2 linked regions of the Daphnia pulex genome follow. Each later gene encodes a partner of the first gene's protein in a complex. Links are inferred from orthologs where the notes say so. Each region holds a gene or a part of one and is shown in the gene's direction. Other genes may lie near its edges. The genes, in order: mortality factor 4-like protein 1 and vacuolar protein sorting-associated protein 72 homolog.

Region 1 (12,055 bases):
GATGCATTGATTGACACCATTTATCAAGAAATGGAAACTGAATCTGGTGATTTTCTCAACAATGAGGGATCGGCTTTATTTGCGATTCAGAGCGCGTGTAACCACAGTTGTGAACCGAACTGTATTTCGACTTTTCCGTTTTCTAATCATACTGTAGCTTTAGTAGCATCAAAAGACTTGGAAGAAGGCGAAGAAATATTTATCAGTTATCTTGATGAATGCGCCCAGTCGAGAAGTCGACATTCAAGAAGAAAAATTTTGAAAGAGAACTATTTGTTTCACTGTAATTGTAGTCGATGCCAACTCGAAGCTGATGAACCAGATATGACTAGCGAAGATGAAGAAAGCATGGAAGATGATTAAGGTACAATGCTAAATATTGTATGTAATCACTTTTCAATACATTCAATTGCTACGCAGTCTCTCTCGCTCTTCCTCTGGTATTTTTTCGATCGCAGTTTCTCTCCCTCTATATACGTATCCATCGAGATCAATGGCAAAATTAAAGTCGACAGGGTTGGCAAGTGCTTCCTCTATAGCTTTTTCAATATTTTCAGCTTGGATAAATGGGGTAGCCTAAAAAAAAATATAGTTAGATAGATATAATTAAGAAATAAATATCAAATAGCCATACCTTTTGTTTCTCAAGGAAAGCTTCAATTTGAATTTCATATAGTCTAGTTTCTTCCTCTTTATTAATCAAAGAAGCTAGAATATTTTCTCTTGTTTTCTCTGCCTGGATCTTTAATTTCTCTTCTCTCAACTTAGCTGTTTTTTCATTTTCCAGACGGTTTTCTTCCATCAATCTAATATGCTCTTCTTCTTCCAATCTGTGTTTCATTTGTGCTACTTCTCCACTTTCTGCTTGTTCAAGAGACTGTTCAAAAAAATAGTGCCTATAACGAAGTAAAAATGAGGTTTAAAATCCATGTAAAAATCTAAGTTTGAATAATTACCTTAAAGACTTCATTTGGTGAAAGTAATTGTCATAAAGGCGTTTAACTTCAGCTTTCTCATCGGCGGGTATGAATTTTTTTGGAGCAATTCGGAACATTTTCGATTTGGCCATAGGTGATCCGAGTGGTTTCCTCACCCATGCTCGCGCACTTCTACTCTGTATGCACGAGATGTTAATAACATTGAATATACGACTGCTACTTCTGGCAAACATGGCGAAATCTTAATGATATAAAAAAAAAGGTTGAAAGTTCTGTGTTTATCAAATTAATGAACAATAATGACACGACAAACGAAGTGTACAAGCTGCACTCCAGCACCGGCTGTTCGTGACATCGTCTGCTGCAGTATAAATATTCCGAATAAGAATGAATGATTTGGCAACACCGAATTCTGTACATTGTAATTTGTTATTATTTCCAAACCTCCAAAGGCTTCAGATTTCAGAAGTTCAGATGTGCTACGCTTCAGAGGAGGCGTAATTTAGACTTTGCATTATTGCTTACTCCAGCATATTTCAGTGATTTCAGTTGCTAGTTGCTTTTCTGACTAAAAATGTCGTGGCTGGGAAGATCCTGCTGTCTTTTCTTGTTTCTTGCTCTAATAGGTAGAATTTCGAACATTCTTTGTTTATTAGCTCAATACGCGTGTAACGATGCAATTCGATTAATAATTGTTACATGTTGTGTTTTTCATCTTATAGGGTTGGCAATTGGAGGCACAGAAGATAATGAGGTTGCATCACAACATGAGAGAAATTCATGGATAAAAAAGTGGAAACTTCCTCAACTTTTCAACCAACCACCTTTTCCAAAAGACTCTCCATCTCCTCCTTCCTGGAGTTCAGCTTATGTAACTTAGTAGTATTTAAAACATTATGCTTAGACCATTGCTCAATTTTCCACACCATTAGATAAGTGAAGGAGTTCTCCATCTTCCATATGCTGAAATAGACGAAAACTTTTATGCCTGGGTGGATTTTGATAGTGGAAAAAGCCGAATTGATTTTTATGGAGGTGTGATTTTTTTTTTTTACTTTTAACTTTTTTATTTATTTATTTACTTATTTATTATTCATGCCACTTGCATTGCTTTTCACTAACAGGAATGGAGAAAACCTACCAGCTAGCAAATGAAGGACCATATGGCACAGCCAAGAAAATTGCCCCTATGACCACTGAGACAGTTAAAAATCAGCTAAATTGTTTCCAAACATCTGGTAGTGCTGATGAACCAGTAAAAGTCCAAGGAGTTTTGCCTGATATCTCAAACTTTAAGGTACAGCAGTAAACAAACAGGAAAAAAGATAAAAGTAATATGTTAAATTTGTTGTTTTGCTTAGCTGATTGGCACTGAAATTATGAATGGTGTGAGTTGTGAAAAGTGGGAGTATATCAATTCTGTCGGCGATAAAACTAATCGCTACACAATGTGGCTCCAGCACCAAGTAAATATTTTTTCAAAACTACAGTATATTTATAACCAGACCATGTGCAATGAAATATTCTATTTTAGTTCGCTGGAACTCGTCAACAAATCGCTGTACCCGTTCGATATGAAATGAAAGGATTCAACTCCCTTTTGGGTTCTCATTATGACCATTATTATCTGGATTATTCTAGCTTCACAGCAGAAAAACCTAATGAAGATGCATTCATGATCGACTCCGGTAAATAAGTTGTCATTGCAAAAAAAATAATGTCTTTGTCATCTGTAAATTAAATTATTATTTCAGATGTAGGCGAATGCCATGGATTCCCCGGTCCCGGTGTCGACCATATTTACACATTTAACCCCATGCGTGAATTCGCTCATGATCACACTCAGCATGTGGACGATACATTTGACTCGTTCGTCCGTCATCATAAGAAGGGTTACAAAAATACAACTGAACACGAAAATCGCAAAGATATTTTCAGACAGAATATGAGGTATTATTCTATTGTCTTATGCAAGTTTCTTTTCCGAACCACCTTACATTTTACGTTTTGGTAGATTCATCCATTCAAAAAATCGCGCTGGATTAACTTATAAGCTAGCACCGAATCACATGACTGACCGGACTTCAGATGAAATCCGTTACATGCGTGGAAAACTGCGCTCCAATGGGTTCAATGGTGGCTCGACATTCCACTACACTAAGAGTGATGTTGAAAATCTTCCAGAGCAAATGGATTGGCGGCTTTATGGAGCTGTCACTCCTGTTAAAGGTAATTTTCTTTTTGTTTAAATTCAATTTTTGTTTAAATAATGTCATCATTACAATTATTATAGACCAAAGTGTGTGTGGTTCGTGTTGGAGTTTTGGAACTGTAGGAACTCTTGAAGGAGCCCTCTTCCTCAAAACGGGTAAACTGACTCCACTCTCACAACAGGTAAATTAACATCAAATATTTTGTTTCAATGAAATTAATGATGGGAATATGTTTGTTTTAGGCTCTTGTTGATTGCAGTTGGGGTTTTGGCAATAACGGTTGCGACGGTATGTTATTTCATTTGAATATATTTTCACTTTTTCTTCTAAAGTTGTTCTTTGTTTTAAATTTTACCATTTCTTCGCATAATTGTTCGTCAATTAAAGGTGGTGAAGATTTCCGAGTATACCAGTGGATGATGAAGCACGGAGGTATTCCTTCAGAGGAGAGTTATGGACCTTACTTGGGTGCTGATGGTTATTGCCATGTAGACAATGCGACTCTCGTAGCCTCCATTAAAGGCTATGTTAATGTAACATCAGGAGACGTCGATGCGTTGCGTGTTGCCATCTTTAAGTATGGCCCAATCTCCGTTGCTATCGGTAATAAAACGCGGAGGAGTTGTAGTGAAGTCAGGTGGTAATAATTTTCTTTATCGAAACTATTAAAATAGATGCTGCGCATCGTGCATTTTCTTTTTACGCCAACGGAGTTTACTACAATCCTGAATGCGGTAATAATTTTTAAAATCTCGTAATAATATCATGCAATTACCTTTTCTAAAAGAATACTTTCTTTCTTTGAAATCTGTGGCACCATCACACTCATCCTTGAATTACTTTTTTAAACTGTAGGCAGCGGAGAAGACAGCTTGGACCACGCTGTTTTAGCTGTAGGGTATGGAATTCTAAAAGGCGAGCCATACTGGTTGGTAAAAAATTCGTGGTCGACTTATTGGGGAAATTCTGGGTATGTTTTGATGTCACAAAAAGAAAATAATTGTGGCGTCGCGACTTCACCTACTTATGTGATCATGTGAGATTCCAAACATTAAATTTTGTGTTTGCTCCCATCATGAGTAGAAATCTATAGAAAAGCTTGGGAAAAAACAGTAAACATGGATCTCTACGTCTGAGTTTGAATAAAATTGATTGTGGCTATCAAATATTTGTCAGCTGCTATTAAAAAAAAAAAATGTGCTTCGATTTTTTTTTCTTTTTAAAAATTGCATTTTGGCGTTCTGACGTTCTTTTAATGAAACGTGCACCAACGCTAGGTCACGTGACGTAGCAACTAGCAAGTTGTAGCGTCTGCTTTGAACAAAAATGGGTCCCAAAGCTCAACAGAAGCCAGCAACAGAATTCAAATTTAAAGAAGGTTTGTTTTATTAGTCAAATATATCTTTGGATAACTAAATTTAAACGATTAAACAAAATAATAGGGGAACGAGTTCTTTGTTTTCACGGTCCGCTTTTATATGAAGCCAAAAGCCTCAAAGCAGAATTCAAGGATCAACAGAACAAATACTTGATACATTATGCTGGCTGGAATAAAAAGTAAAATCAAAGTGAAATTTATATTGATGAAACTTCCATAACATTTTCCTCTGCTGTTTATACAGTTGGGATGAGTGGGTGCCTGAAAACCGTGTGCTGAAGTACAATGACCAAGCTCTTCAAAAACAGAAAGAACTCCTCAAAGCTCATGAAGCTACATCGTAACTATTGACTTTCATCAACGACTAAGGCTGATTGATCATCTTATTTGGTTTTTCAATTTCTTTGGAACAGGAAAGGAAAGAAACAAATCAAAGGTGTTTCTACCCCTGTTGGCAAACCTCCAGGCCGAAGATCAGAATCATCTAAAGGTGGAGGCAACCTGTCAGATGCTAATACATCAGGCAAAGAAACAGATAGTAGATCTTCTACACCATCACTTCAAGGTACCTTGTCAAAAGTGGTACACATGATGCCATTGTCAGACTATTTGTCTTTCCTTGAAATCAGTCAAGATCAGTGTTACGAAAAATAACATAAAAATTGCTTATATTCCAACAGAAAAACCCACCAAAAGACCTGCCACAGCCTCTACGACAACAACACCTTCTACCACCACTGCTGGTACAGCATCATCTTCTGAAAGCTCAAGAAAGAAGACCAGACCTGACTCTACTGTTGAATCAGTGAGATTTCACATACACTTTCTAAATCTTTTCAACAATGTAGCATTAAAAAACCATTTACTTATAGGAAGAACAGTTTTTATCCAAGGTTGAAGTGAAAATAAAGATTCCAGATGAGTTGAAACCCTGGCTTGTTGATGACTGGGACTATATTAACCGCCAGAAAAAAGTACGTGATTTGAAACGTTAAAGATATTATCTTTCCAGCAATATTTCACTGAGTCACCAAAAACTCATTTCATCCAATTACGCAACAGTTGGCGAACTTACCATCCAAAGTGCCCGTTGACACCATTCTAGAAGATTACATCAAGCACAAAAGCAGCAACCGGACGACCACCCCAAGCAAGTATGTCGCAATTCCGCTGTTACTGCTAGCAAAATGAATACCAATAGCATACATACATTGTGTGTATTTGCTAAACCAAGTGGAGAAACTTTTTTTTTATTTATTTCTTTCCTTTAATTCCTCCATTTTTAGAGAGAGTGCCATTCAGGAGGTCATGGCCGGCTTGAAAGAATATTTCAATGTAACGCTCGGTTCTTCGTTGCTGTATAAATTTGAGAGATTACAATATGCTGATGTAAGTCATGAAGTGAAATTCACAGTGATATACTATACGTTCATACGTTGATTCTTTATATGGCTATAGATTTTGAAGAATCACCCTGACAAAATGATGAGCCAAATTTATGGAGCCCCCCATCTTTTACGCATGTTCAGTAAGTTTCAATTGATTTCAAACCACCATTTAACATATTTAAAATAAACATTATCGTACAGCCCGGCTAGGAAGTATGCTGGCGTATACCCCACTTGATGAAAAGTCGATCCAACTGCTCCACGTTCACCTCCAAGATTTTTTAAAGTAAGTCTGAAAACGAAAGAAACATTTTATTTAAAGACGTTGATTTACATCGGCAGCTGTGATCACGACAGATACATGGGACGCAACGCTTCGACGCTGTTCAGTGCTCAGGATTATGGCAACGCATCGGCTGAATATCACCGCCGCGCTTGCTGAAATACCACGTCAGTGTATCTTTTTTCATTTTTTTTTCGTCGGAAATATTTTTTTCTTTCCAATGTCTCACACATATAAACGAGCCGATTTGAAATCTGGTAAACTTTAAAAATAAAGAAAGAAAAAAGTTTTTTTTTTTAAGCCTCATGTGTAACACAGTGACTTGCCATCGTGTAAACGTAATACATTCAATTGTTACGCGGTTTTTTTTACGGTTCTGCGAATTCTACCGATGACGCCAATCTCTTTGACCCAGCTGGTCTGTTTTTAGACAAGCAATTAATTGTCCTGTTTGTCGGATAGGGAGTCGAGAACAATCGTCGTGTATTATTTCCTTCATTGGGCTCGACATCCGCTCGGAATGGAGTGTGTGTCTAGAGATTTTCGGCTAGATTTTGGTAGTGATCCTCTCTCAAATTGGCATAGACAAAACTCGTGTGTGCAGTGAAAGTGGGCTTTTGAGATGGGAACAACACATCGTCACGGTCCAACTATGTGTACCCCGTCTTCCTCGCTCAGTATTTACTATCTGCTGGTCATTTAAACCCAAACATTGAAATGATAGCCGAGCTGTTCGTGACCGAGAAGAGAAAACAAAACGCTCGTGAGATGAGTGTGTCGTGTAGATTTTTGGGTCTTTGCGTCTATCTTTTTTCATTTTTCGGTGACTGGGCGGATGCAGCGAAGACGAGGGTGATAATACCCTCATCCACCCCGACCTCTAACCCTCCCATCATGACGCGACTGCTGATGATTCACGAGAGAGTTGAATCGTCTCAGAGCTAAAAGGGTTGTAATATTTGTGTCAGTAGTCCCAAATTCATGTTGTTTTCAATGAAGTGTTTCAATTCTTTCGGCAAGAATATTTGGGAGCTTTTAAAAAGAAAGAAAAAATAAAACCTTTTTTCTTTTTTGATTTTCCTGGGTCGAGGAGCCCGGGCGCTTTTGGTACAGAAATAAACTACGGCGGCGTCGTCGGTCGCCGCCGCCGCCGTAGTGTGTGCTGCTGGCCTTATTTTGTGTTGTTTTAACTTTCTTGTACTGAAACGGACGAGAGGGAAGATCTTTTGCCGTCCCGGTTGAGAAATATAGACGTTGAGCTATCAGCGTCCGGGGCTGCTGGACCAGCCGCAGCAGCTGGACTCGATTCCGGAAGCGAATCAGAAAACAACCCAAAAGTTCCTTTTTTTTTTTTTCTCCACAAAAAAGAAAGAAAAAGAAGTGACGAACCCTTTTTGCCACACACTCTCTCTATTTGCCCTTCTCGTTTCCATCAAAAGCAAACACACAAAACATATATGGGTTAAGTAACATTTCCTGACCATATTTGGGCGTCATAGTCAGTGTCATTAGATGTAGGTGAAGGCTGTGCAGATCGTGTGAGTAAGCTCACTGCCGCAGCTGCATTGACGTTTTCATAAAGGTCGAAGCCCAAAACCGCCCGTCTCTCCGACAACAACAACGACTGGGCAGGGGAAAAGCCGGGGCCATTTTTATGACGTTTTCATGTTTGGCCCATCACACCAAGGATCTCCTCGTCTCGACTTGTGTTATTTAATAATCCCTGGATGCTGTGCCCGAGCCAACGCGTGCAACCGTCCGTGAAGCGCCACGCAATGCGACCGTTACGATGGAAATCGAGCGTTCTCATTAGCTTTCTATTATACCGTACCTCTCTGAACTGGTGTGTAATGGTTCTCGCGTGTCTGCCGTGTGTGTGTGTTACTGATGCAGTTGCAGCGACTACCGTTTGGTACACACACACACACACCTTTCACTCGGGCGTTTTGCCATCGTATGACTGGGAAGAATTAGAAAGTTGTGATCTTTTTATTGTCATTCTCTCTCCTCCTTTTGATACGAGCGATTGTATGTGATTCGACAAAGAGGAAAAACGACGCTGCGAAGAATAATTCACCGTCGTAGAATTTTCTTTTCCATACTGTAAAGAAGAAAAGAAAAATTCCCAATCAAAAGGAGCCACACGACTGGACGGACAATCCATGGCCGTCGCCTTGACTGGGATTTTATTTCTCTTGAACGTGTGCTGTGATTTCCATTTCTCTTGTGTTCCCTACATGGTTATCGACGCCGAATGAAAAGAGAACCTCCACCTCCTTCTCTTCATTTATATGGGGGGGTTCGTTCTTTCGGTTGAGGGTAAACCAATACGGCAGCGGCAGCGGGCAGCGGCGGCAGCATGGCCGGCTGTTGGCGCGCGCGCGCATTGAGCCCGACCTATTTCTGGGACCGAGAATGGAGTGAGAGAGAGAGAGAAAAATATCCCGATCCTTTTTCCCGTTTCTGTCTAGCGAAGAATAAAGAAGGAGGAAAATGAAAAAACAAGAAAAGTCAAACAAACAAATCGGTGCCAAGGTGTACGACCAGGACGACGCCGGGATTTTTCTACACGACGGCAGCGTGGAAGAATTTTTCTTTTCTCCTTCGGTTTCTTCTTGTTTATGCGGTTGAAAATGCGAATTCGAGAGAGACGGTGGGAGGGTGTAAGCATTCCATCATATGTAAACTCAATCGGTCTGCAACGTGCAACCGACGCCAATCGACGTCGTCACGATCTTTTGCAGGTCTCGGGAGTCCCGAGAAAAAAAAGCAAAACAAACGGAACGATGGAAGCGACTCTCGACATCCCGGTCCATTTTTGGTGTGTGAGCGCACCCACGTCCGTCCCTCACTGCGCAACTGTGTACAGGATTGCGGTGGCGCTTGGTTTTGGTTTGTTGCGACGAATCAGCGAAATTCTCTAGTTCAATTTTGCGTGTTCAATTTTCATTTTTCAAATGTTGCGACTGACCCCAATATTTGTCGCGTGTGTTCTTCTTACGCTCCAAAGTAGTACTCGACGCAATCAACCGGTGGCATTGAAAGTGTCAGTTATGCAAAAATGATTCGGACGTGTATCATATATATCTCTTTTGGCGCGTTCAATACGGTACAAAAACCTGGCGGGACCGGTACATGTGGCGCCAAACATAAAACGTAAAAGGTCGTGACCAATCGGAGAGAGTGAGATAGACAGATATATTCCAACAGCATTTTACACGACGTGAGTCTCTCTCTCTGCGATGGAAGGAAACACTTGCGTGTCAAAAAATGACCAGTGGCAAGGATCGGCAAGGTCGTATCGATTTTCCCTTTTGAAGAATTTCGGGAATTATTTTTTTGTTTGTTTATGAAACGTCCATTTCTTTGAGTATTCTCTCCCGTTTGTTCTGTTACGTTTCGTAGTCGTCGGATTGTCGGCGACCTCGCGAAAAAGTCGTGACTCCCGTCACCTCTGGAATCCAGCACGGAGCTTTTGCTGCTGCTCCGGCTGCTGCTGCTCCGGCTGAGCGATTCTACTTAGGTACAAGGTTAATGAATCTATTGTTTCATTAACGACGATTGCAAAACCACAGATGATGGCGTGAACATGAATACCGTGCCTCGAGTTACTTGCGATTCATCCGACACTTTTTCTGAACTGAATTCTCACTCACGAAAAAAAAACAAGTGAAGACTGACGTCATCCCGCGGTCCGGTTTATTAATCCACCCCGCGTCTCATAGCGGTGCGACAAATGGCAAACGTCAAGAATGGATTACATAAAATTGAATAAGCCACCACCTTATTGCATTATAAAACGGCACGGTCGTAGTCTTTTATCAGAAGAAGATTATAAGCTGCACGCGCCTGCTGAATTTTGAAATGTCGTAATCGTTGCGACTTGTCGGCAAGTCGGCGGATCAAGTTGCGGGAAAAAAAGAAAAAAATCATTCCCCCATCGCCCCCCGTTGGAATGTTTCGTGTCACTTTTGCGGTGTAGCCCAATTCCCGTAAACATATTTTCACTTTCCAGTTGCATTTTGACCTACCTTCATATTGAGGACGCTTTTTACTCTCTTAAAAGTGTGTGTGTTCAATCATTTCTCTTTCGTGTCTCGAGAATCATTATTACAAGCGTCAATCAAAATAAACATTACAATTGATATTCTTGGTATGAGTTGACTATCTTGTATGTACTCTCGTCGGCAAAAAAAAATGCATAACGCAATCAAATGCTCCGGGTGGTGTTTCACTCGGTCAGATACATCTGAATATATTAGATCAATATGTCGAGTGTGGAAACAAACACACACACAAAAAATAAAGAGTGTTTTTTCTCTGTTTTTAAATGGACGTGCGTACCGCAATAACACACAGAGCGAAGGAGAGGTTTTTTGGAACCAACGCAGAGGGTTGGGAGAGAGTGTGTAGGCGGGCAGAAAACGTTTGTACGGGCGGGATTGTGGAGAGAGAGAAAGAAAAAAGAACCGGGTTGCTTCTTGCAAGGACGGGCGTAGAGCTTGTCAGGAGGGGAGGTGGGAATCAAAGAAGTCAGGAGAGAAGAAGGAGGGTACCAACAAAAACGGGCGGCTATAGGAGCTGCTCGGCCGGGGTCCTACACGACTCCACAGTTGGCTCCCAAGTTGTTTGTTAGTCGGCTAGAACGTCCAAGCTAGAACAGTTGCTCTTCAGTCGCCGTAGCCGCCTGACGGGTTTCTCGCTCCTCACACAACTTCCAAGGTGAGTTGTTTGCTGATTCTTTTTTGATTTCAAATTTACTACGTTTCCTCTTCTTCTTCTTTTCTCCTTCTGATTTTCACTGTTTCCACTTTTGAACAATTTGCTATTGCCACACTTAAAGTGAATTTGTATCGCGAGTTAGTGTCGACCATTCGGATTGGATTTCCATTAAGGTAATGGGGTTTAGTTGTATAGAGGGTAGTAACGTGATGTGATTGGGCAATCCAGTTGGACTTGACCTTGTCTCGGCGTCCAGTTATGCAAATCTCTTCACGTTCGATCGAAGCTAGTAAAAAAAAAAAGGAAAACAAAACGATCCGAAAGAGCAGCGTGGGTCTCCAAGTCTGACCATTTCCTTCGCCATATTTGGCGCGGTACATAGAAAAAGAGATCCGTCCCGCGGGCGCCATCCAGCCAGACTCGATTTCGTCTCTCTCTCTCTCTGCGGGAATCGGGGTCTCTTTTTTTTTATTATTATGCAGCACAGCTAAACGTGTCTATGTCAAGGACTCTATGTCGGGATTCTATTATCCCCATTTCGAAATGATTCATTTTGTTTTTTAATGGATTTTCTTTCTTTTTTTTTCGAATTTCGTTTTTCTTTTTTAATTAACACTTTTGAGAAATTTCATTTACTGGGAAATGAATGAGGAGAGGGGGGGGGGAAGAGTTTCGCATCACGGCCCAGTGAAAGAATTCCGAGCCAGATAGGGGCGGGTTAAGAATAGCCAGTACTACACAGTGTCTCAGCTGGAGGTCGGAAATATCGTTGCGTTGATGCTCTACATTTTGAAATAGGGTTCGTGGCTGTGTGTTATTTCGTCTTGGACTCCTTCATGCCTCCCGCTCCCTTTTTTTTCTTTCTTACCCCATGTGGAAATGTGATAGTCCATCAACATTAATTTTCCTTGTTTGGTTCATTTTCGATTTTTAGTTTTTGATTTTCTACAAGTCGCCAAACCAAACCCAGCAGAAATGGACGCCATCAAGAAGAAAATGCAGGCGATGAAAGCCGAGAAGGATAACGCGATGGATCGCGCCGATACTTGCGAACAGCAATCGCGAGATGCCAACCTCCGCGCTGAAAAGGTTCAATCAAAAACATTTTTGCCGGATGAAAAAGAAATGACAAC
Region 2 (11,670 bases), on another chromosome or scaffold:
CGCAAAGATAATATCACCAGATTTTAATAAAGTTGCCTGCGTTTACAAAAACACGAGTAAATAAAAGTTATTCGAATAAGAATGTAAAAGTCATTATACCTGGAATGAAAAGTTGCCTCCATCGGGTTTATCCTGAAGAGCAACTTTGTCCCACTGAACTGAAAACGCCGTTCCATTATCCATGTACTTAATAGTGGAGTAGTTACTCATGCTTGTGTCGAAATTTGCCATCAACGGGGCAATGTATTGTGTAGCAGCCAACCAAGAATGAACGTAGTCTCCAGTATATAGAAAGCCCCCAGTAGCGATGGTAATGTTACGCACCCAGTGCCCATAGAAGGGAAAATCGAAGGAGAGCGGAACCGTCTGTGAATAAATAAAAAAAAAACGAAAACAATCTAATTTGTAACCGAGTTAGTGATTGCCAATTAAAAATTCTTACAGCGGCACGACGATGTGATTGAGACAACATATCGTGAGTAGATGCATTTTCCTTGTCAAAATCAATCCAAAATTGCATTCCTTTTTCAGGATAAGTGGAGCTTGAAAAAGAAAATAATGAATTGATCACTGACAATTTTGACGTAATTGATGTATGGTTATTACCTGTTGTAATATCGATGGTAGTCTTGAGTGACATTTTTAACAGTGATGTTTAGACCATCATAATCCACAGTTGGTAGCACTTCAGTTGGAGTTGGTGTAATGGTGGATGGTGTAGAAGTTGTAATAGGAATAGTCGTAGTGTCAGTATTGCTCTGAATGTCTGAAGCTAATAGGAAACTCAAGATAATTTTAAATTAATTGGCATATTTATTAACACAAACTTACCGTTTCCCTGTGGCAAGTCAAGAAGTGGGCTATTTAGTTTCTGATTTGAAGAATTTTCTGGATTTGAATTTGGTTGGGGCTTCATGGTCACAGGTTTCTTTGCATCTTTGCTTTCCTTTGGATCCACTTGTCGTTTGGTCAGTAGCTTAATCACAGGCTCTTGCTGCCAACTGCTGGGAAATTCGTCTGACTCGTACAGAAAATAGTCATCTGTCAAAAAAATACATTTTACCAATTACAAAGTAAACCAATGTGGCAATATATTGAGGCAAAGTGAAACCATTAAACCGACAATAAAAATATGTACAGATGAAGCCTGTCGTTAAGTTCAACACAATATTTTCCTCGTTCTCGAGCAAATGTTATAGCGCCATAAACCCAAAACATTAAACGTCACAAAGTATAATTTTTATATACCAGCTGTGCAAATGCCGATGAGGGTGAGAGTAACTAACACAGCACACCAGTTAAATTTCCTGCTTTCAGACGCCATTCTCGGTGTATTTTTTCGAGGGTTGCGCCTATTGCACCGTGGAGTCCACGGCCCTCTAGTGTCACATAGTGCTATTGCACCGTGGATCCACGGCGCTCTAATGTCACTTTGTGCTATTGCACCGTGGATCCACGGCGCTCTAATGTCAAAATATGCTATTGCACCGTAGAGTTTAGCACACACACCGTCACGTTTAACTAAAGTAACCCTGTGTCGTAAGGCTGGTGCTCCTTATGAAATAATTGCCGACACTCGCACATCCAATAGATAAGGACTGATAGGATAAGGACTGTAAAGCATGCTCTCCCAATAGCCAATACTGCCTCCCAAGATTCACCTTGTGGCTTTAACACAGTCACTCCTACTGCGGCTGCTCATAATAGCAATTATGTCAGCTGTGATCGACCTAGTCAAAAACAAATTGTATATACAAGTGTCGACCCTTTTAACCTTCAAAAAGAAAACGGACCTGCATTGAAATGTCCAGCAACTACAGTTATTATGTTAGTATACGCTAGCTAGCGGCATATACCGCTAATTTTGGAACACATAGTTCGCTTTCTGCAAAGGGCTTAAAATAAGACTTAATCAACACGTGATGCCCAATGGTTGTCCAGTGCAAATTAGATTTACCTACTATGGTACATGTGAAAAAAATTTGCGATAACAAAGCTGGAACCCATGGGCATAGAGAGACCTCTCCATACCCCTGCTGGAACTAGCTCGTCCGCGCCACCTGGTATCCACGGCGCAATAGCATATTTTGACATTAGAGCGCCGTGGACTCCACGGTGCAATAGATTTTTCCTTTTTCGAGAGTGACACTTGTTACAGACCACTTGTAGACAGCAGCAGTGGGCTTCATCAATTCGTCGGGCCCTTTTTCTCCGTAGGGTTTAATGGGCTACAGGGTTGCCACATGTCATTGTGTTTCACCAGCACTCCTTCTTTGCTTCCGCCTCGCACTGTTGTTGCTCAATTCTTTCGTAACTAACTCGGTTTCTCATATTTTAAATTGCTCAAATGAAAATAGGACAAGAATATTTAATAACGGGTAAAATTTTTATTTTTCATTAAACAGCGTAAGAAAGCTGAAATGAATTTACTGAATTCGTTAATTCTATTATTGCAAGATACTGCGCAATCATCTGTAAAAGTTATGACGTAGACGGTGCTGCATTTCCTTTATTTCGCAACACAGAAAATACCCAGCATTGGGACGCTTCATTAGGATCTTCCTGCATTGATCACTGATAACAAAATAATCTCGCCTGAAATAAAAGTTTGTCTTTATTTTTATATTTTAGTGTAGATGATCCCCGTCTATGACATCCAATGTGGGATGTACACAATCAAAAAACAAATATTCACAATTATAGCTCGATCCTTTGCGGTGACTTTCTTGGTCTGATATCGGACGGCTTGAAGACAACTACGTTTGGAGCGCTCACAGTGGACTTCAAATGAGTTGGAACATCTTTTCCGGAAGGATCCGGATCAGCTAAACTGATACTGGACACGGCAGATCTGCAAATCAATGAATTATGAGTACTTTTAATGACGTCGAAACCATTTTGAAATCTTACACTTTAAAAGATTTTGAATCTTTGGCTGACAGATCACATTGCAGTGCAAAAGCTCCGTCTCCTGGCATAATGAGCTCCTTATCATGCTGTAAGATGAGAGTCACTTGAAACTTTTCTCCATCCTAAAAAAATTGCACATTAGAAACATGAGACGTTAGACGTGTTGATACATTCGTTATTCTTATTGCACGTACATCCTCAACATTGCACTGATCGTATGGTATTTTGAGCCGAAAACGACGGCCACCGTTAGCATCTAGAAAGCACGGTGCCTTTCGTGAATAGAAGCTGCCTAAGTCAGAGAAAAATTTAGAAACGAAAATTTAAATTTTAAATCGATATTTTCTCTTGTTTTGTACCTCTGGTGTATATGACTCCTCTAAAATCGGCCAGTGTCTCTACTACCACTTGAAAATTGTTGCTACCGCAGTCTAGCCGGATCTGATCGAACCCCGAAGCCGTCACACCAATGTTCATACGCCCAGTCACATCTTCCCGCCATAATTCTGCAGTTGAAGGGAAAAGTGGTAATATAATTGAAATTACTTGACTTAGACTAGTAGGATGACGTAATTCTTGCAAGATTCCGTAGTTTCTTAACAAAAACATATCAAGTTAAAACGCTTTAATGATTCTCACCTTCTCCTCTTGACGTGAACAGACACAATAAGAATGTCAGAGACAAGAGCACAAAATCACGGACAAACATTTGATAAAGCTTTCAAAGAAATGGTGAGATGGCACCGGAGTCAGTCAAGCTGAACTGGTTTCAAGACTAACTGCATGCCGGTCTTTGTACGGAAACACCTGAGTTTTCCATCTGTCAATGACTTTCTCTGGGTTATTCTAGCCTCAGGTGATTTTTTCGTTCTTTCAGATGAATGCCAGAAGTAAAGCTTACTTCCGTGCGGCAGAAATAGCATGCACCGGCGGGAAAATTGGTTTTACTTTTGATTTTGAAAAATAACAATTGTAAAATTTAATTATACGTAAATGGTGAGGAACTGGCAAAGTAGCGATACCCACTGAGGCAATATTTTAAGGGTCAATTTGTGAAATGGTTGGAACTGGTTGGAACTGGCAATTTTACTGATAAAATGCAGCAGAATAATTCGTACCTTCATTTAAACAAAAATGTTATAGTCATGTCATGAATGTGTGTGATCTTGTCTTTTGCTTTTTCATTGTGTTCATCAACCTGGATAAGGATCGGGATAAAGAGCTTGAAGTCTGTAACAATTTTAATATTCTCTTTAAAGTGGTTCCTCAACACAAAACGTTATAACAAACAAGGTGAAGTGTTTTCAATTCTTTTTCTTAGTAACTAACTTCAGTCTTAAAGGGGAAGGACTGAATGAAGATTGAAGAACAAATATAAAATGAAAGAGACAGAATTTCTTTTTTTAGGTACAGTACGTCTAAATCCAGGAGAAGCAAAGTAGAAAGAATGAAAGGAAAGGCGGAAAGGTTTCTGTAGGATATAACGCCACCTAGCGTTGTGATTTAGCAAGAATTAAGTTTGGTTTTAGTCAATAGATGGCTTTCTGTGGCGTTGGCGTCTGCTTTTCCAGTTGAGGTTGTTTAGAAAAAACTAATTTTTTTGTGTAATTTTAACGTGAACTTTGTGTTCTCAGATCTAGTAATTGAATTCTCATAGTGTTTGTTTAGTAAAAAATAACGTCTATCTGTTAAAGTTCATCATGTCGCTACAACGTGAACGGCGTGTAAATGCGGGCAATCGCTTGTCAAAATTACTGGAGGAAGAAGAACAGGATGACGATTTCTATAAAAGCACTTACGGTGGATTCAATGATGAAGAAGATGACAATGAATTCGTTTTCAAGTAATTTAAAGTCTAAATTTGTATATTACATCAATAAAACAAATCTTTTTTTGGTCTAGAGCGGAAGAGGACCAGGATGACGTAGTAGACTCAGATTTCAGCATTGATGAAAATGATGAACCTATCTCTGATCATGAAGATGAGGGCACTAAAAGAAAACGAGGTGTAGTCAGTACCAAAGCGTACAAGGTATGTCTATTCTACTACAGAATTAACGAATGAAATCATTTTTAAAAATTTTCTTAGGAGCCTAAAGCTTCCTCGAGCAAACGCTTAAAGGGTGACAAAAATGCTGATGAAATGACAGAAAGAATAGCAAAAGCTGGAGAAAAAACAGAAGTTCCTGTGGAAGTCCCGAAGGTCAGGTCGAAATATGCCAGAAAGCCAAAAATTCCTTCACAGGCCAGAGAAAAGAAGGCAGTAAGGCAAACAACTGTATTGAAATCAGCTGAAACTGTACAAAGACTCAGGGAGAGAGAAACAAAAGGGAAAAGAAAACACAACAGGTTAGCATTAAAAATAATTCTTCATTAGAAATGTTTCAAACCAATCATTTATTATGATGTAGAAGGGACAATTCTGAAAAGTTAACCCAACAACAGCTTCTAGAAGAAGCCAAAGAGACTGAATTGCTTAACATTCAATCATTGGAAAAGTATCACCAACTTGAACTGGAGAAAAAGAAAACTAGGGTCGTGAAAAAGGCTCCTACTGGACCAACAATTCGTTACCTCTCGACGTCAATGCCTCTGATCCAGGAAGTCAACCCGGAAGCCGAGCGAATTAATGTCGAAGAAGATGAGGAAAAAGAAGATAATCCAGTTGTTGAGAATGGCACGGTAGCCACAGTCGACAGCAAGCAGTGTTGTGAAAGAACTTTCGTTACGTTTTCGAATGACAGTGTCTTGGAGGCTAATTTCAGTCGGACGAAAGTCACTCCACCTCAAAAGAATTTTTGTCCTATCACCAGGTCGGTTTGAGTGATCGTCTTCTCTTAGATGAAAGGGAAATATCATTCGTTTATCATATCTCTTTTCAGGCAAAGAGCCAAATACTTTGATCCGGTGACTCAGCTGCCGTACGGCACTCTACAGGCCTTCCGGATTTTACGTGAGGCCTATTGCCAGCAGCTGGAGGTGAAAGGAGACGCCAGCGATCCGGAGATCGGCCGCTGGAAGGAATGGCGTCAAAAGTACCGCCAAGCTCGACTCGCCGCTCTAGCTGCCGCTCGCGCTCAACAGGTCAACGCGCAGGGAAACTCAGCACCTGCATCGACGCCAGTTCCAGCAGTCAAACCCTCCAACTCGAATAACTCCACACCGACGATATGAACGAAATTCTCCTCATTTTTTGCAACCGACATGAATAAAATGGACATTTTTTGATATTTTCTTTCGACCATTAGACAATTTAGGGTTTCTTTCAACTCGATTTGTGTTTCATACGAACTTTGTCAGACTAGCAAATGTTATCGATGAATTATTCATAGGTTAAATCCTATCAAAAGCGTCTTGCTACACCTGCCGACAAATAAGTTGGCAGTGATGATGAAACCGGAAGGCGATCAAGACGTATACCATGTTCTTTAAACTTCAAAACTTGTACTATTGTGCTGCTCTACTACTAATTCAGTTGACATTAGTCACCCAGCAGTTGGTTCCTTACAGCGGAGCTACTCGTTTTGTTCCTAATTGGTGGACTGCAGGTAAAATCAGCCATTTTAAAAATGTGTTTCCAAAAATAATTTGAACAGCTCATTTTTGTCTTTTCCATTGTTAGCAAGACGTCAGCATTCAACCAAAACATTAAAGCCTCTTATCTTTTGTCCAGTTCATCAAGCGGCAGGCGGAGAGTGTCGCAATTCCGAGGATTGCTCTGCAGACGAGTGCTGCGTCCGCTCTACGGGGTCCCGTCTGCACCGGTTCTGTTTGCCGTTGCGTCAGACGGGCGAAGCTTGTCGACTCACTCAAAATCTTGTTGATCCATCACATGAACAACATCACGTCTATTTGAACCTCTGTCCCTGCACCAACGGCCTGGTCTGCCGTGAAATTCACGGCGGATGGGTTGATGCCGAATGCGTTGCATCACGCAATCCGGCTGACCTACTTCGCCACTCTTTCCTCCAAGCCATTTTGAACGCTATGAAACAGCGCCGACAGCAGTCGAATAGTCGGCGCAACCGAATTCCCGTCAATTCGTTTTCAAATTAAGGTTTATTTTCTTTTTTGATACGGCGCGTTGACCTTTTCACCGATTCCGGGTGTTGCAATACAAGGAATGTCCGTTTCCCCCCCCCCTATCTCACGATAAGTCTAATATGTAATATAACGGAAATAACCACTCCCTTTTTCTGTGTTGTCTATATAGTACTATGGGCTCAACCCAAAAAACAACAGACGAGTATAGTTGCGGTTTCGTGTTGACAAGAACAACACGCAGCAGTTGGACGGTAAATCATCCGGTCGGACAATCGTGAAAACGAAGAACTTCTCGGTCATCCTTGTCCCAGCACAAAACGCCGTTATTATTATATTAGAAGTGTTTTTCTTTTAAGTTGCGTGAAATGTGCAGCCCCGTGCAGTCGTGCACTTGATAGTGGCAAGTTCATTTACTTATTTCTATGCTGCGCATGTACACAACTCGACGACGACGACAGCCAACAACCCCCCTGTGACGGATGTGCACTTTCGGGTCATGCGCGTTGCAGCGTGATCAATACAAGAGAGACAACAGTCGGCTCTGTAACGACCGCGCGTTGTACATACTCGGGGCGTCTTGCTGAAGATAGTCCGGTGAGTTGTTGTTGGACCTTATCTCGCCAGGAGCGTTTCAAAAAATAGAACGGAAATAGAGTGTACCGTAGATGATTTTCTTGCTCTGTGTGTAGTGCGAATTGAAAGTGACGCAACTGAGAGCAGCGGTTCGCGGTCGTCTTTTATCTGCCACCGAATGTGAGATAAGAAGAGTGTCAGCGGCTCGGGAATTTTTGAGGAGATCCCCCCCTGTTGGTGCGGGATCAGCCCAGCTGTGCGTGTACGAAAAAGCTCACGGGGGTTGCTGCTGGCTGGCTGGCACTTGGGTGAACGTCAAAGATGGCCGACGATGACGACTATCAACTTGAACCACCGCCACTTTCGGCCTGGGCAGCAACTGTCGGTATGTGGACTGGTCCTATAGGGGAAACTGAACTGTCAACTCTTCCAGCACAATTCCATTTCAATCCGTCATTTTCACAACTGCCGATCGCCTAGAAATAAATATACACCGTGTCAAACTCTCTTGCACGACGACGCCGATTGACATCTCAGTCTTTGCCAAAGAATTTTTGGGGGGTTTCAACCGGACCCGCCCTATCGGCAGCTGGCGCGGCCCACCCGCTATACTCCTTCCGCCGCTATACTTCTCTCCTCCTTTAATTATTTATAGATAGCCAGTAAGAAGAAAGAGCGAGTTGATGCTGCATTAGAGCGAAAAATACAAAAAAAAAAAGGTTGCTGCGGGACCCCGTTTGATGGACGCTCCTGCGAGAGCGAAACAGCTGCCCAGTTTCGCAAAGGCTTCATTTCGTTAGCCCCCTTCGTCCTTGTTGAATGTTTGCTAAATTCAGCTCGACGAAAAAATCAATTACTACTGGCCACGTTCAAAGCGTGACCAACATTTGTTGTTGTGCGGTAGTTTTTTTAGTAGTTTGTAGTCGTTATGGTAGGGCAGCCAATGGCAACTGGGATAACATCGTTTCAACTCCATCATCAAAATAGTAGTCAATTCAGTGCTCGTGATGCTCCTATCGTTAATTTGGTTACTCTCCAATCGTCCGTGGAACAGACCGACCATCCTACCATCTTGTAAGAAACCCTTGCAAAATACAATTTTAACCTTTTTATGAAAAGATTTAATAATAGTCTGCTAGGCAGCTCAACTGGAAATAAAGATCAGGTTGTCTGCTTTCTGCTATTGCGTCACCGGATCTAATAACAACAATTTATTGATCCGACGAGCATTTAAAGTATAACGGGGGAGAGCGGGGAGAGCCATTTGGAACATCTGGAAACCATCGTCTTATTAATGTCGTGTTTTCACAGTGATGCTGGAAAAAAAATAATGAAAGAAAAACGGTGATGGATCGGAGATAGAGAAAAGTCTTGACAGGATAAACAAAACCCAACCAGCAGTCGCGGGACCGGTTGTGTTATTGTTTTGCTAAAATTCTTTTTGAAAGTCTCGTTGCCTCATCTCTTTTGTTTTTCTCTTTTTCTCTCAAAAACAAAAAACAACCGGAGCTATAGCAGCTATAGAGCCGTGTAACCGACATTTTTTCATTGATGGCCGTGTCAATTGTAGAATTGAGAAATATTTCTGGTGGGGGAAAGAGAAAAACAAAAATTACTCGACGATGCGAACCGGGCCAACAAGTTAACGCCAACAAACAAAAAAGAAACAAAATGAAACAAAAATATTTCCACGGTAGAGTTTATAAATAACTCGGCGTGCTGCTGTGTCTCGTATACACACACACACGTTATCGGGGAAAACTTGTGTTCTACGTGCGAGTTGCACGTATATTGATGTGGACTAGATATCGGCGTGATTCCGTTTGACTAATTTCGCATAGTTTCGGAACCAATCCGTTAAATATCGTGAATCGCCTCCGAGTCCCGTCGAATCAACCCCAATTTCTTTAATTCAATTTGAATCTAATTTAACGATTGGAACGATGGGTCTGTCAAATCATTAGAAAAACGTGAACTGGGCGTTGACGTCGAGTCATTTCTGCCTTTTGTTATTTTCTTCCATTTCAAATGGAAGCTGTTGTTCAAGTCACAGTGTCTAGCTAGCACACACAGCTGTACTAATAGGAGGGGGGACGACAAAGACGAAAGGGAGACAGATCGATCAGTTGAAAGTCTGTCATGGCGCTCCTCCGTCTAAAAAAGATCCTATTTTTGACTCACGGCAGAGGGAGACGTGAATCTGTGCACGTTCTCTCCCCCAGCTGGATCCGGTACTACTCCCCTCTCTTCCACTTGAGAGTGTAAGAGACACAGGATCACATAAAAGTCGGAAGAGCTCACAACCCCCACGGTCTCGTCAGTCGTCGGTGTGGACACATTTATATTCCTCCTCCTCCCTTTGCTGTTTGTGTGTGTGCACCGCCTGTGTGTTCATTGCATCGGGCGTTGTTTTCCGCCGTATGTCGGCGCCCCGTTATATTGTATCAGTCAAGAGCCGGCCAGAGCCGCGTTTGGTTATATATTATTGCCCCACTACAGCTCGGCAGTATAGACAGAGACACAAGTGAACGATGGAAAATTGAGTGTGCACTCACGACAATCACCAAAAGTGTTGTGCGTGTGTGTGTGGCAGTTTTTTTAAAAACAAGCCTGGATTTTATACAGTGGCCCTTTTAATTTTTGAACGAAAATAATTTTGAACAAAAAGAGGGAAAAAACGAACGACAAAGGTGTGGTTTCCTCCCACTGCGGAAGCGGCGGTGATATCCTTTTAAATTATCACGATTGTTTCGGCGGAATTGTCTATTGATGTTCACTCCTATGCTTCTAGCGACGACTGTTTTAGTTATCTACTACGCTTTGGATATTAGTCTCCTCAAAGGTCTGCTGTTTTCTGTTTTATAATTGTTTCTTTTTTCCCTTTGGAGAAAATTGTAGAAACAAATAATAATGGGGGGGGAGAGTGGCCTTGTTTGAGACAATTCCGGTTGATTGAACTTTACACACACTGTACACACATTCAGTGAAACTTTGGAAAGTTGCCTTTATTGTTTAGTTTTTTTTTACTGATGAAATTAGAAAACCACCACGATTTGACAATGACAGTGAGAATTTTAGTATAGAATCACGTGTTTTTATCATTTTGGAAAGTTGTTGTGTGTTTTTCATTTGTTTTTTAATCAAAGCAGACGACGACAATTGTTCGTCTGTCAATTTTCGGTTATTGACGTTCGAGACCATGAAGGTTTCCGGTGTGGTTTGTCGCTCCAGTAGGAAAGTTTTGCTTTTATTTTTCAAGAAAAAAGGGAATATAACAAACAGGCAGGACGCGCAATGACTCATGTGTGGAAAGGAAAAAAAGAAGGAAAGGGGAGTAGCGTGCGTGCGTCTGGGGGAGCTGAGTGGGGGAGAGGCTACAGTGTCGGATTACTTTAGCCAGTCGCCATGTTGATTGCGTACAGAAGAAAAAGGGGAGAGCAGCAGCTAGAAAAAAGCTCGTCCCACTCTCTCTGACACACGCACGCTCCCCACCCCCTCCTTTCTATCTCGTGTGTAGTAGAGAAACCAACTGCTGTGTTGATGTTTGACAGTCTTTAGGGCCAGGATGGGCTGACTGCGAGCTGCATTCCAACTTCTCCCCCAGTCTGCTTCGATCATTCCTCCCTGCTTGTTTTGTTGTTGACTCGAAATGGCTCCCCCGTACCAACCAGCAGGTTGTGATTCATTTCAAATCCACTACACACGTAATCATTTGGAATTTGCTAAATCTTGTTTGTGTTGTGTTTTGGCATTGCTGGCCAGTTTTTTCTTGTTCAATGAGAACGCGTGCGCCGATCGATAGTCGATCGATCAATCGCCACCCCGCCCAGCAGTGTTCCCTGCAGCAGCAGCAACCAACACACACGAAAAAAACGTGCGTGTGTCGTGATTGGCAAATGATCGTATTGTTGTTTTCTGGTGTATTTTTAGGTCTAAAACGAGGTTCCAGGGCAGCGGACACGCCATCTCGAGTCGGTAGAGTAACGCAGCGTGATTCCAATTCTAACCCCATCAGTCCCGTTCCAACTGGACCGGAGGAGGAGGAGGCGGAGGAGGAAGAAGAAGAAGAGGTGGTAGAGGAGACTGCGACAAGCTTGGACCACTGTCAGAGTGAGTCGTACCATTGGTGTGAGGAGGACGATC

Evidence for each region.
Region 2: mortality factor 4-like protein 1 (region 1) and vacuolar protein sorting-associated protein 72 homolog share a complex: the UniProt entries of both Drosophila melanogaster proteins name them as parts of the tip60 chromatin-remodeling complex. The link is inferred for Daphnia pulex from reciprocal best matches to the Drosophila melanogaster genes MRG15 and YL-1.

Annotation. Positions count from the first base shown.
Region 1 is NC_060018.1:5,686,211-5,698,265, forward strand, and holds mortality factor 4-like protein 1, read left to right. Parts: upstream 1-4,385; 5' UTR 4,386-4,477; coding exon 4,478-4,529; intron 4,530-4,593; coding exon 4,594-4,708; intron 4,709-4,773; coding exon 4,774-4,869; intron 4,870-4,942; coding exon 4,943-5,094; intron 5,095-5,209; coding exon 5,210-5,334; intron 5,335-5,401; coding exon 5,402-5,503; intron 5,504-5,591; coding exon 5,592-5,683; intron 5,684-5,815; coding exon 5,816-5,918; intron 5,919-5,987; coding exon 5,988-6,057; intron 6,058-6,118; coding exon 6,119-6,203; intron 6,204-6,274; coding exon 6,275-6,359; 3' UTR 6,360-6,562; downstream 6,563-12,055. Other genes in the region: histone-lysine N-trimethyltransferase SMYD5-like, read left to right, coding at 1-363; probable 28S ribosomal protein S26, mitochondrial, read right to left, coding at 406-576, 635-896, 957-1,171; digestive cysteine proteinase 1-like, read left to right, coding at 1,513-1,564, 1,661-1,809, 1,871-1,973, 2,063-2,235, 2,300-2,404, 2,473-2,626, 2,693-2,888, 2,953-3,167 and 5 more. UniProt on the Drosophila melanogaster protein: Part of the Tip60 chromatin-remodeling complex which is involved in DNA repair. Upon induction of DNA double-strand breaks, this complex acetylates phosphorylated H2AV in nucleosomes and exchanges it with unmodified H2AV.
Region 2 is NC_060028.1:9,605,866-9,617,535, reverse strand, and holds vacuolar protein sorting-associated protein 72 homolog, read left to right. Parts: upstream 1-4,328; 5' UTR 4,329-4,486; exon of another isoform or gene 4,487-4,544; 5' UTR 4,545-4,610; coding exon 4,611-4,753; intron 4,754-4,812; coding exon 4,813-4,942; intron 4,943-4,999; coding exon 5,000-5,259; intron 5,260-5,321; coding exon 5,322-5,723; intron 5,724-5,792; coding exon 5,793-6,084; 3' UTR 6,085-6,140; downstream 6,141-11,670. Other genes in the region: plexin domain-containing protein 2-like, read right to left, coding at 1-36, 100-366, 443-542, 607-772, 832-1,041, 1,249-1,324; uncharacterized protein LOC124210054, read right to left, coding at 2,698-2,851, 2,911-3,032, 3,105-3,202, 3,270-3,419, 3,550-3,619; uncharacterized protein LOC124210055, read left to right, coding at 6,332-6,458, 6,533-6,966; uncharacterized protein LOC124210039, read left to right, coding at 11,177-11,201, 11,290-11,670. UniProt on the Drosophila melanogaster protein: Part of the Tip60 chromatin-remodeling complex which is involved in DNA repair. Upon induction of DNA double-strand breaks, this complex acetylates phosphorylated H2AV in nucleosomes and exchanges it with unmodified H2AV.